Linked DNA regions of Solanum lycopersicum. The protein of the gene in region 1 interacts with the protein of each later gene in a pairwise test. Links are inferred from orthologs where the notes say so. Each region holds a gene or a part of one and is shown in the gene's direction. Other genes may lie near its edges.

Region 1 (4,334 bases):
ATGCAACACTGGCTGTGCTAATGCTAACTCTGAAGGCAAACTCAACTCATAAGCCACATTGTCAAAATGCCTCAAAATCTGATAAAAACCTACATATCGGGGATTGAACTTCCCTTTCTTACCAAACTTCATCACGCCCTTTATGGGTGAAATTTTCAAATAAATCCAATCATCTACAATATATTCAAGCTCTCTCTCCTCTCACATCGACATAAAATTTCTATCTGTTCTAGACCGTTCTCAACTTATTTCTAGTAGGTCGATCATTCTCCATAACCTCAGGAATCGACTTGGGCGTTATCAAATTCACTTCGCTAACCCTAAACCAATCAAAAGGAGACCTACACTTCCTATGATAAAATGCCTCAAATGAAGAGGCTAAAACTTCCAACAGAAACAACGTTTTATTTTTAAGTACACAATGAAAAAATTACTAGAAAAAAACACCTATATAAGTTTTATAGGTCATGTGGTGCTAATTTTCTTTAATGAATAAAAGAGAGACTCGTTTCATAGGTAGAAGAATAGAAGAAGGGACTCTTCTTTGACCCCAAAAATACAAAAATGGCCATTTTATTCTATACCAAATTTTTAATTGGGCAACTTTCACATATAACAAATTTAAATTTATATTTGTATGCTATAGCAAAGTTTGCATAATTGCGCTCCATAGCAAACATAAAAACTGTATAGTTCGCTATACATATACAATTGAAGCAAATTGTATAAAACAAAGTGTATAAAACAAGAAAGAGAAAGACACTTGGGCAAAGAACTGTATAAAAACGAAGTGTATAAAACGAATTGTATTATTATAAGTGTATAGAACGATTTTATACAATTCAAATTTGTATAAAATGAGAAAGAGAGAAAGACAAAAGAGACTTGACAAGGAATATACAATTGAATTGAATTGTATAAAACGAGAAAGAGAGAAATTAGATAGAATTTGAAAATTGTATAAAACGAGAAAGAGAGATAGACAAAAGAAACTAGCAGGGGAGCATTTTTATATAATTATAAGTGTTTAGGACGAAAATATATGTACTTGCATATCTATATACAATTTTCTCACGCTTTATACAAACAGAAACGCAATTTATACATTTCGCTTCTGTTTGTATAAGTGAGAAATGCGAGGGTGGCGAGCGAGATTTGGGAGAGTGGCGAGCGAGATATGGAAGAAGGAAGATAGTGGGAACAAAAATATATGTATTTATACAATTTTCTCTGCTTTATCAATTAGAAACAATTTTTATACACTTGTGTTTGTATAAAAAATGAGGAAGCGAGCGAGAGATTGGAGAAGAGTGGCGAGCGAGATATTTGGAAGAGAGGCGCCTGGCAATATTTTGCAAACGTTTGCTATGGAGCACAATTATATCAAACCCTGGCTACTCCATTTATTTTAGGTTATTAGTTTGTTATTATATACAATTTCCCCTATTTCAATTTTATTAAAGCCCAACAGGGTTCTAATAATATAAGGCCCAAGATGAAGATCCAAAGCTAGAAAACTTTGCTTAAACCTCTGTTGTATTAAAGCGTGACAGACCGTCGGAGACCGGAGTGAACAACAATGGCGGATGTTCAGAGAAGAGGAAGACCATTACCTCCTCCTCCACCCAGAGGTCCACATGGTCCACCTCCTCAAAGGATTGCTCCACGCCCCGTACCAGTTGATCGCGAAAAGGTCCTACTTTTTCCTTTCTTTCTTGCCTGAATCCTCTGTTTCTGACTTAGGTTACACTGGTTTGGTTACGGATTAGGTTGTTTTTGGAGTGAAGTAGCTTGTGCTTCTGCTTTTTGATTTTTTGAAGCAATTGTTATGTTGCAGACTCTCGCTAGGGTTTTGTTTAGAAAAGATCTTATAGTGTATTGCTGTTCAACAACAACTCTGAGACGGAAAATTATATGCATGTGTATATACATAGTTAGAATTATGTGTTATTTTTATGACCATGGTGTCCGAGTGAGCTATTGTGCACTTCGACTAATTCCACATACCTGTTACCTCACACCAGCAACATGTTCCACCAAGGCTAAAACAGATGAGAGGAATCACCTAGTGTTTTTTAATCTCTGCCCAGATTTGCTTACAAGAGACTTCATAACTATCAACCACTTCATTGGCCACACTTTTAAGTATTAAAATTATGCGTATGGCTAATTCGCGAGTTCAAGTTTATGAACCTCTAGTGAAAATCTCACCTCTGCAACTGTTGGGCTGACCATATCATTTTGCTCTATTTGGACTCCTTTTTTTTCAATACTAATTTGACGAGTCTTACTCTGGTTGGTGTATTATTATTCAAGGAATGAAATTTGATTTGGTAAATGGAAGTTTAACACAAGATCCCAAAAACAAATGTAAGGTTGAGAATTTAGAAGTTAAAGGAGAATACACCACTATGTAAATTGAAGAAAAATAAAATGCAATGGTGATATACTACTTCTTCCACGTCTATTCTGATTTTATATAGGACTATATCAAGGATATGTACGTGCATTAGCTTTTAGCAAATGTACCCCCAAAAAAGACCTTTAGCCTGCCAGAAAAGAAGCTGTGAATTGTGAAGAGACAATGCCCGTCATTTGGTACAGTACCGATCACCGAATGGGCTGTTATGGTTAATTCATGTCATACACCTTGATAAATAGAATTTTGTCTGGTTTGCTTTTACATTTACTTTCAAAAGAATGGACGCTTGCTTGCCCTTCCTCCTTCTCAGCTTGGGCAGACTAACAAGGTAAAAAGGCATGCAGGCACTTGTGTTGTTTGTTGTACTAGCTGCTTACCATGTTGAAGAAAATGGATTTCAACTGATACTAGAAATATATGATCTGAGACCTGGCATCACTTTGTATTATGTTGAGACCATACATGCTGAGTAATCTAATGATTGTTTTATTTTTGTGTGTTTTCTCTTTATCAGCAAGTTGGCATGTATCTTTTGCATTTTTTGTTCGTACTTGCTATGCTAATGTGTGTTCATAGCACATAATGTATTCTTTGCATACTGGAAATTACTTACAAAACCTTTTTTTTTTGTTTCTTTTGGGGATACCATCGAAAACCAGACTTGTCCTCTGTTGCTTCGTGTTTTCACTAAGGTATGTTCTCCAATCGAGCTTTATTTTTTGTTTTTCTGTTTTGATAGAAGGTGAATTTTTATAATGGAATAACCACGAGCAAGACAAAGACCTTTCGAATAACCCTAAGGGGTCGTTTAGTAGCTGGTTAGACTTATGCATGTATTAGCAGTGTAGGGATTAGTTATGACTTATGAGTGAATCAATGTATTATTTTATGCATGTCTTAGTTATGCAAGGATAAGTTAATAAGTTATGCATGGATTAGTTATTCCACCTTCTATCTTGCATAAAATAATACATAGATTCCCTCATAACTTAAACATGTATTTGTTATGCAGGTTTCTAAATTGTTAACCAAGCGTTGTATTAGTTTTTACATGAATTAACATCTTCCCATCTACATACCAAACGTCATATAAGTTATATGAAAATTAGTACATGGATAACTTTTTACTTATCCGGCTACCAAAGGACCCCGTAAGTTTTACCAGCTTTCGAAGTTCTGAAAGTAAATGAAACTATCTGTAAGATTTTGCTTTTCATATCGTCGCCTTCGAAATGTATATGATTTGCGTATGCTTCACTAGTTGATTTTCCCCGAAAAGTGGCCATGCACGCATATTTTTTGTTTCACCACGTTTAAGACTAGTATGAACCAAAAACCTGAATTGCTTTATGGTTAATTAATGATATACTCGGTGGGTGCTTCACTTTGGAACTTACAGGTTGGAGGCCATCACAATGTTAATGAATTTGCTGTGAGGGGCAAGGAACCCAAAGATGAGGTCCAAATCTATACATGGATGGATGCTACTCTGCGCGAACTAACTGATCTGGTATGAAGAAGTAACACACAGTATATCTTTTAACTGGTCTCTTCAATTTAGTTGTTATCTGTCTCCTCTTTGTATATTCTCATGCTCACTATCTGCCAGCATGCACATAGCAATTCAAGATGTTGGGATATTGTTGCAATTTTCTTAAAAATGTGCCTTCTATCCTTCGCTTGTATGACTAATTGTCTAGGAGATGAGCTGTTTTTATCTTTTGAGTGCTGAGTTTTCTCCATAGTACATAACTTGTATTTGAGTTGTTCAGTTCATATATTATATATAGTACCTCATTGAAACTAGGTGCAGCATAGTGCATTATGAGTTTCTGGCCTCTGTGAGCTGGTATATTGATAATGTTTGGCATGAAAGTAAGGGGTCGTTTGGTGTGAGGGATAAGAATATATA
Region 2 (4,100 bases), on another chromosome or scaffold:
GTTATATTTATCATCACATTTATGATTTTAACCAAACATAAAAATTATTTAACACGTTTGAGGAAACAAAAACAAAATTTATTAGCTCTGATTAATTAATATTAATATGTAATGTAAAATATACTTATAACTAATTTTTAAGCTGACGAACTTGATGGAACTTGAGTTATTGTGTTATATACTCACCTAAATTGTCATTATGTATAAACAAAGTTTAAATTGTTTTATATGTTAAGATTAAACATATATATTTGATCATTATATTTTGATTTTTTTTTTGAAAATTACGGGGTTAAGTAAATTTATACTACTTAATTACTCATTATAATTATAGTTTGCTATAATTATTACAAGCAACTAACATTATACATTAATTATGTGGGTTGACTTCGAGTTTGTATGATTAGTCACGTTTGTATATGTATAATTCGGCAGAATATACAAATACATATGTATGATATACACTTATCTAACCAATATAATATACAATTCACCTCTCTCCCACTCTTTGCGCTCTCTCTCGCCTCTCTCAATTTCGCTCGCCTCTCTCTTCCCTCTCCCAAACTCACTCACCTCTCTTCTCTCTCTCCCAATCTCGTTTTTCCATATATACAATTACATATATATAATATACAAATATCTAACCGATATATATATATATATAGAGAGAGAGAGATATGTATATATGTATATATATAGATATGTATATATATATATGTATGTATATATATATATACAATTCGCCTTCTACCAATCTTTGTCCTCCCTCGCTTGCCTCTCTCCTCTCTCTCAATCTTGCTCCTCTCTCTCCTCCCTATAGCTATGAAAGTAATTAGGTTATTTTTAAGTGCTTTATGTGAAAATTCCTTTATTTTTTAATAAGAAAGAGGAAGAAAGGATTATTATACATTTGTAGAAATTAATTTATAATTATAACAAGTTCTAAAAGTATCATGAAAAAAGTAAATATTAGAATAACTTGACACAAAGAAAAGACATGAATAATTTGCCAAAATTCATATAACTAAATCCAATATGTATTAGAATTAGGACAATATTAATTAATTGATATTCGAAAGATAAATGAATAAATAAATAAAGTGTTAAAATTGGGACAATATTAATTAATTGATATTTGAAAAATAAATAAATAAATGTGTATATATTTTCCATTAGTTTGAAGACATAAATATATTTTACATCTGGTTTTTTCTTCTCTACTCAACCTTTAGCGATCTCTACTGTAGTGGCCGCTTCTTCTGGTTTTCACTTTCAGGTTAGCTCTTCTTGTCAATCCCCCCCTACCCCCAAACAACCCCTTCATTTATTGGACTCTAAATTGTTGTATTAACATATGAGGGGGAAAAAGAATGGGAAAGTTGTTGTCTTTACTGTTTTTCTTGTACAGATTGTTGGGTATATGGTTTAACTGAGTACCCTTTTGGCTATATGGGTGTTTGAGCAAAAAAAATGGGTCTTGGCCATGATTGGTTGGTTGGTTCTTGCAATTTGCTTATTTGGGTTGTTAGTTGAGGAGATTTAAGTAAAAATAAGTGGGAATATGGGTGTTTTTGTTAAAATTTTGGTTGAAAAATTTGATGTAGTTAAAGTACTATTGATTTGTTTGATGGGGTTTGTTGAATCTTGCTGATTGTGTGGTTCTATCAAAAGTTTTGAACTTTAAGTACTCTTAAATGCAACAAAATTGAGTCTTTATGCTTTTTATTTTGGTGGATTTTGAGGTGGGGGTGGGGGTGGGGGTTTCATGTTTGCATATTGTATTAGGAGCTGCTAAATTATACTAAGGTTTTGGATTCTGGATTCATTTGCTCACATGTACTGTTGAGAGGCTTATTTCTGTATTTTATATGTTCAGTTGTGTGTTTTTTTCTGTCTATGAAGAAGTATTGTTTTTATTATTAGTATAAAAGAAAAATACTTTGTTTTGTTTCAGTGTGGTTGATGTACTTTGTGTTATAGTGATTAAATTCAAGCTTTAGTGTCTTTAGGCAGGATGAAGCAATTTTTGGTGATGAAGAAAAGATAACATGTTCTGTGTGGTTACATGAATAAATCATCTTCTTGCTGAAACTGACTAGATATTATCATAGTTTTACCAATTGTTGTTTTTGCTGTCTTACGTTGACTCTTAGACTGTACTCAAAATTTTCTCCATTTTGAAGCTTATTTTTTGGACTAATTCTCTGACTAGTTTGGGATTGAGGCGAAGTAGTTTTCTTATTGTTATTGTATTTTGGGGCTAATTCTTCCAAACTAAACCCAATTTGGCAAGTCATAATGACTCTACACCCTTCTTAGTATTAGTGTATGGTGGTGTCTTCTGTTTCTGTTTGGGTGTCCATATTTAATCATGCCTTACTCTTTGTTTTTTTTTTTAATGATTTATATTCTTTATTCTAAGAGAAAAGATCTAAATATATGTATTTACGTCAACATCCTTTGTTGGTTGTGAATATGTGTTTAGATTTACTTTGTATTGCTGAATTGTCCTTATGCCTTTGCTTTCCATCTGTTAAAGGTTTATCCTTACTGGTTTATAGCTTGGGAAATGGATGTTGGAGGAAACTCCTTAGCATCTGGTGCAGATGGAAAGAAGAGAAAAGTAAGTTATTTCTATGATCCTGAAGTTGGTAATTACTATTATGGACAAGGCCATCCAATGAAGCCACATAGAATGCGGATGACACATGCTCTTCTTGCCCACTATGGTCTATTACAACACATGCATGTTCTGAAGCCAAATCCTGCTAGAGATAAGGATCTCTGTAGGTTTCATGCTGATGATTATATTGCTTTCTTGAGAAGCGTAACACCAGAAACACAGCAAGATCAGCTGAGGCAGCTGAAGAGGTTCAATGTCGGGGAGGACTGTCCAGTTTTTGATGGTCTTTATTCCTTCTGCCAAACCTACGCTGGAGGTTCTGTTGGTGGGGCAGTTAAGTTGAACCATGGACACTGTGATATCGCTGTAAATTGGGCTGGTGGATTGCATCATGCCAAGAAATGTGAAGCATCTGGTTTCTGCTATGTGAACGATATCGTGTTGGCTATTCTGGAGCTACTCAAAGTCCATGAGGTATTTCATTATTGCTGTTCTTACTCACTTTTTTCCAAATGGAGGTTGATTGACTGATTGACAAAATTGGTCAGGACACATTTTTCACATTTTCTCACTATTCCTTTACTATTCACACATTGACATCGTGTCACCAAGCTATGTTGTGATATTGTGATAATCAGCCATCCCATGGACAGGCTATGTTATCATGTACTCTTCAGGAAAACACATTAAATAAAATAACTAGCCTCATTGGATTAGGTTAGAGAGTAAGTTGCTCGGACTCTTTACTTTCGGTATCGCATCTGTGTTGACACGACATGGGTGTGGGTGTGGGAGCCGTACCGGCTTAAGTCAACCGGTTTTGGATACTTTGACCAAAAATCAACGTTGAAATATGGGACAGCTACAATGAAATCTGTAATCAAAACAAAAGCTAAGTTGAAATTGGATTTTTTTTTGGGAGTATCTTGTATATATAAAATTCTACTCGAGTCGTTTTCTGTAATCAAAACAAGAAATGGCGTTAACCTCTCATCCCTCACTACTCTTCCTTCCATTTCATTTTAACCCACTATGACATGTTCTTATTAGCTTTAGAATTATCAACAAAACAACACAATGTTAACTTTACAATTCTTTTTTAATTTTGTTTTGAAACTGGTTAAGTTGGTGTTAGCTTTACAATCATTAACTAAATGTCAATCGTACGCTTACATCCAACACATAATAATCACATTTACATTCCTAAGCTGTATAAGTTCTTCATTGCTAATTTACCTTGTTTATATCACTGTTGCAGAGAGTATTGTATGTGGATATTGATATCCATCATGGTGATGGCGTGGAAGAGGCCTTCTATACTACAGATAGGGTCATGACAGTTTCCTTTCATAAATTTGGAGATTACTTTCCTGGTACAGGGGATGTACGTGATATTGGTTATGGAAGTGGAAAATACTACTCTCTAAATGTTCCACTAGATGATGGAATTGATGATGAGAGCTATCAGTCCCTCTTT
Region 3 (3,613 bases), on another chromosome or scaffold:
AAATTTTGAGCTATGTTTTTAATTTCATGAGACTAGGCATAGATGGACTGGTCGTTATGAAGCTCATCTTTGGGATAAAAGTACCTGGAATCAAAACCAAAATAAGAAAGGAAAGCAAGGTGTTTCTCTTTGTTCTCTAGCAGATATTTTTGGTTCTATTTCATGCTGATCAGAATTCAGCTCGATGCTCCATTTTTTTTTTTTGGGTGAAAAACTGATGTTTAGAAAGTGTTATTATTGCATGGACATTGGGACACTTATTGCTGCTTGATCGGGATGGACAGTTTATTTAGGTGAGCATTTTGAGTAATCCTTTTCTGAAGTACTGCACATGAAAGGAGATTAAACTGTTAAACATTTCGAGAACAAAATTTGTTGTAGGAGCATATGATGATGAGGAGGCTGCAGCAAGAGCATATGATCTTGCCGCTTTGAAATATTGGGGTCCTGGAACCCTCATTAATTTCCCAGTAAGATGTTTAATATTAGTTTTTTTGTCAGTTTACCAAGCGATACAGGCATCTAGCCCTTCCTAATTCCTTCCTATCTTTCTCAAGGATTTACTACAATTCTTCTCTTGCTTTGTTTTCTTAATTCCTTACTTGCATAATATTGGGTCTGTTAAAGCTTTGCACCCAACTGTATCAGGTGCTTTGCAATGGCTATACTTTCATGTACTAAATGTTCTGACTGTTTATGTAGGTGACAGATTACACAAGGGACCTTGAAGAGATGCAAAATGTCTCAAGAGAAGATTATCTTGCATCATTAAGAAGGTGGGTGTGCTGTTTGCATATGCATGCGTTTGGTAGAGTATCTGCTGATTCCTCATAAACTCATCTTTGCAGAAAGAGTGGTGGTTTCTCCAGAGGGATCTCTAAATATCGTCCGCTATCCAGGTATGCTAGCACAGATCAAGTCTGCATTCATATGACTTGTTGAATTGAAAATTATGTGATGAAGGATGAATGCTGTGGGATTTCCCGACACATTCACATTTACCTATTTTTCCTGGTATCTTGATATTCATTAGGGTTTCTTAGATGTCATTATTCACGATATCTTCCGTCTTCTCTTCTCTGCATCCAATGTAGTCGATGGGATCTGCAATTCGGACGTGTGCCTGGAGCTGATTACTTTAACAGCCTGCACTATGGTGAGTACAGTTATTGTCATGCAAAAATAAATTTTCTATTAATAATTGTTCATTTTAGACCTTCATTCTCAAAAAATAAAATAGTTCCTTTTAGACCTAGGATTTAGTTAGCAAATCAGGGCTGAACTCACATCTTATAAATCTTTAAATTTCTCAAAGGTGATAACGCCACAGTGGACAATGAGTACATCGGTGGTTTCTGCATGGATAGAAAGATTGACTTGTCAAGTTACATCAAGTGGTGGGGAGGTAATAAAGCTCGTCAAACAGATTCGCATCTGAAAATATCGGAGGAAACAAAGGTTGGTTGTCCTGAAGATATTGATAATGAGCTTAGGGCTTCAGAATTATCAATTCAGCAGACTGAACCATATGAGATGCCCCGTTTGGGTGTGTACCAAGAAAATAAGAATCATAAAAGCTCAACATTATCTGCTGTGAGCATTTTGTCACAGTCTGCAGCATACAAGAGTTTAGTAGAGAAGGTTGCTAAAAAGAAAGAAAAAGTTGAGAATGATGAGAATGAAAACAAAAGCACTATCAACAGAGTCGACCGTGGGAAGATGATAGAAAAATCAAGTCCTGATAGTGGAAGTGAGAGGCTTGGAGCTGCATTTCTCAATGCTGGGGGATTATCTATTAACAGAAACTTGCACCCACTTACTCCACTCCTGTCAGGACCACTTCTCACTAACTACAACAGCATAGATCCCTTAACAGACCCTGTTCTTTGGACATCTATTGTTCCTAATTTTCATACAGGTTCTTCACGGACTGCTGAGGTGAGTTTATCTCTTATCAATGCTTAGATTATCTTGTTTCGCATACTCCCATCTGTGTAGAAACATGGAAGTAGGATAAAAAGTTGATGGAGTGGAATGATAATCACCTAGACTCAATGATTCCTCGCATCTGATGCTTAGTTTCACATGAATACTAGATCAAATTAAAGAAGTTGCTAATTTACAATTTTGTCCATTTAATTATTTTTAAGTGATTTTTTCTTCAGCAGACTGTTTCCTAGCTATATCATCTAATGGAACTTGCACTTAGCTAAGCCTGAGCTCTACTATCCACGTCCACCAGCAATTTAAGTGGGAAAATCATGATTGTTGTTAAGATGTACGAAGAGTATTAGTATGACTTTTCTCTTTGAAGAATGGATAATGTTCAGTTAGTTGTACCTTGACTGCTTGCCTCTGTTATGACTTGTCTGGACCTTGGTCTTTAACAAGAGATCCTACTTAGTATCTAACAATACATACTTTTGCACCCACCATTAGTGGTACCTCAATATAACATATACCCTTCCACATGACTATGCCATTTCCAATTTTAAAAGACTACACAAAATGCAAATTTCAGTAGTATATAATGTTGAGTAGCATAATACTTGTGATGTAGTCGTAATGACTGCCTTTTGGTAGTGTGTGGGATTGCATAAGCAGTAAAAGGTCTGTGTCCTGTATATAACCAATAATTGTTGTTTAGGACTTCAAATGAATTATTGATCCTAGTATGTTTACAAGATGGAGTGAAGGGTGAGAAGCACTTGAGAATGGTTACATAACAAGTATTCCCTACAGAAAAATTGTGCAGAGTGGTGATTTTCTGAAGTTTGTTAGATGGGAAGGATATGTGTATCTCATAAACCTGGATCTTTCATGCAGGTCCACAAGAGCGAAGCCAGTTCAGATTATACTTTATTTCAACAAGAAGATTAACCTTCGCCTCTACAAGTGAGATACAAACTTTCCTGTACATGTAAGTTTGCAGTCTTGTGAAGCATAGGCATACACACTTTTATCTTTTGACAGGGTTTTTTCTTTTGGTCCATTATGAACTTTATAGACCTAAATGTTGTTCCAGTACTTGTAAAATAAGTCTCTAGTTTATTTATCTTTTTCAAGTTGCTGCAATGTTGCTCTAGCAATTCCATTTGTCCATCTGAGTTTTTAAGAGTCTTATCATTCCATGCTATAGAGTTCTCCACATGTAGTTTATGAAGAATGTATAGAAGCATGATTGTGGTATTTATTATTGCGGTTCACTTGAGTAGAATTTTGTCTTGCCCTTCTTGGTTCTAGCTTGACTTATTTATTTCTCTCCTTCTGGTTGAGAAACCCATCCCTAACCTCCAGGAAACACAAGATGCCCCCTCTGTTGATCTATAGTTTCCTCCTATGTTGCTTGGACTCTCCAAAAATGTTGCCGCACCCGTGTCGGATGTTTTAAAATGCACTACTTTTGAAGTATCCGATACACACCTGTTAATACTTTAGAAGAGTCCAAGCAACATAGGTTTCCTCTGAACGTTTCATTGCTTATTTGAGATTTGGAAGGGCAGCTTCTCGGTAAAAGTCTCTTCCCATCGCTACAAGTCAATTTGGTCGCTAAAGGTGCGCACACACCAGATCCCTCTTAATTCTTCACTAAAATCAATCCTAATCCCCTCGT

The links.
Region 2: the proteins of histone deacetylase complex subunit SAP18 (region 1) and HDA1 interact in a two-hybrid assay, tested with the Arabidopsis thaliana proteins (2 studies listed by BioGRID). The link is inferred for Solanum lycopersicum from reciprocal best matches to the Arabidopsis thaliana genes SAP18 and HD1.
Region 3: the proteins of histone deacetylase complex subunit SAP18 (region 1) and AP2-like ethylene-responsive transcription factor At2g41710 interact in binary tests that used the Arabidopsis thaliana proteins (3 or more experiments, as listed by UniProt). The link is inferred for Solanum lycopersicum from reciprocal best matches to the Arabidopsis thaliana genes SAP18 and AT2G41710.

What each region holds. Positions count from the first base shown.
Region 1 is NC_090804.1:62,359,144-62,363,477, forward strand, and holds the start of histone deacetylase complex subunit SAP18, read left to right. Parts: upstream 1-1,490; 5' UTR 1,491-1,579; coding exon 1,580-1,693; intron 1,694-3,081; coding exon 3,082-3,114; intron 3,115-3,821; coding exon 3,822-3,932; intron 3,933-4,334. UniProt on the Arabidopsis thaliana protein: Links the histone deacetylase complex to transcriptional repressors bound to chromatin. Involved in the tethering of the SIN3 complex to core histone proteins.
Region 2 is NC_090808.1:68,206,160-68,210,259, reverse strand, and holds the start of HDA1 (histone deacetylase 19), read left to right. Parts: upstream 1-1,150; 5' UTR 1,151-1,276; intron 1,277-2,539; 5' UTR 2,540-2,569; coding exon 2,570-3,097; intron 3,098-3,881; coding exon 3,882-4,100. UniProt on the Arabidopsis thaliana protein: Responsible for the deacetylation of lysine residues on the N-terminal part of the core histones (H2A, H2B, H3 and H4).
Region 3 is NC_090801.1:41,550,672-41,554,284, forward strand, and holds the end of AP2-like ethylene-responsive transcription factor At2g41710, read left to right. Parts: intron 1-36; coding exon 37-119; intron 120-284; coding exon 285-293; intron 294-381; coding exon 382-470; intron 471-702; coding exon 703-776; intron 777-848; coding exon 849-899; intron 900-1,094; coding exon 1,095-1,156; intron 1,157-1,315; coding exon 1,316-1,938; intron 1,939-2,826; coding exon 2,827-2,880; 3' UTR 2,881-3,075; downstream 3,076-3,613.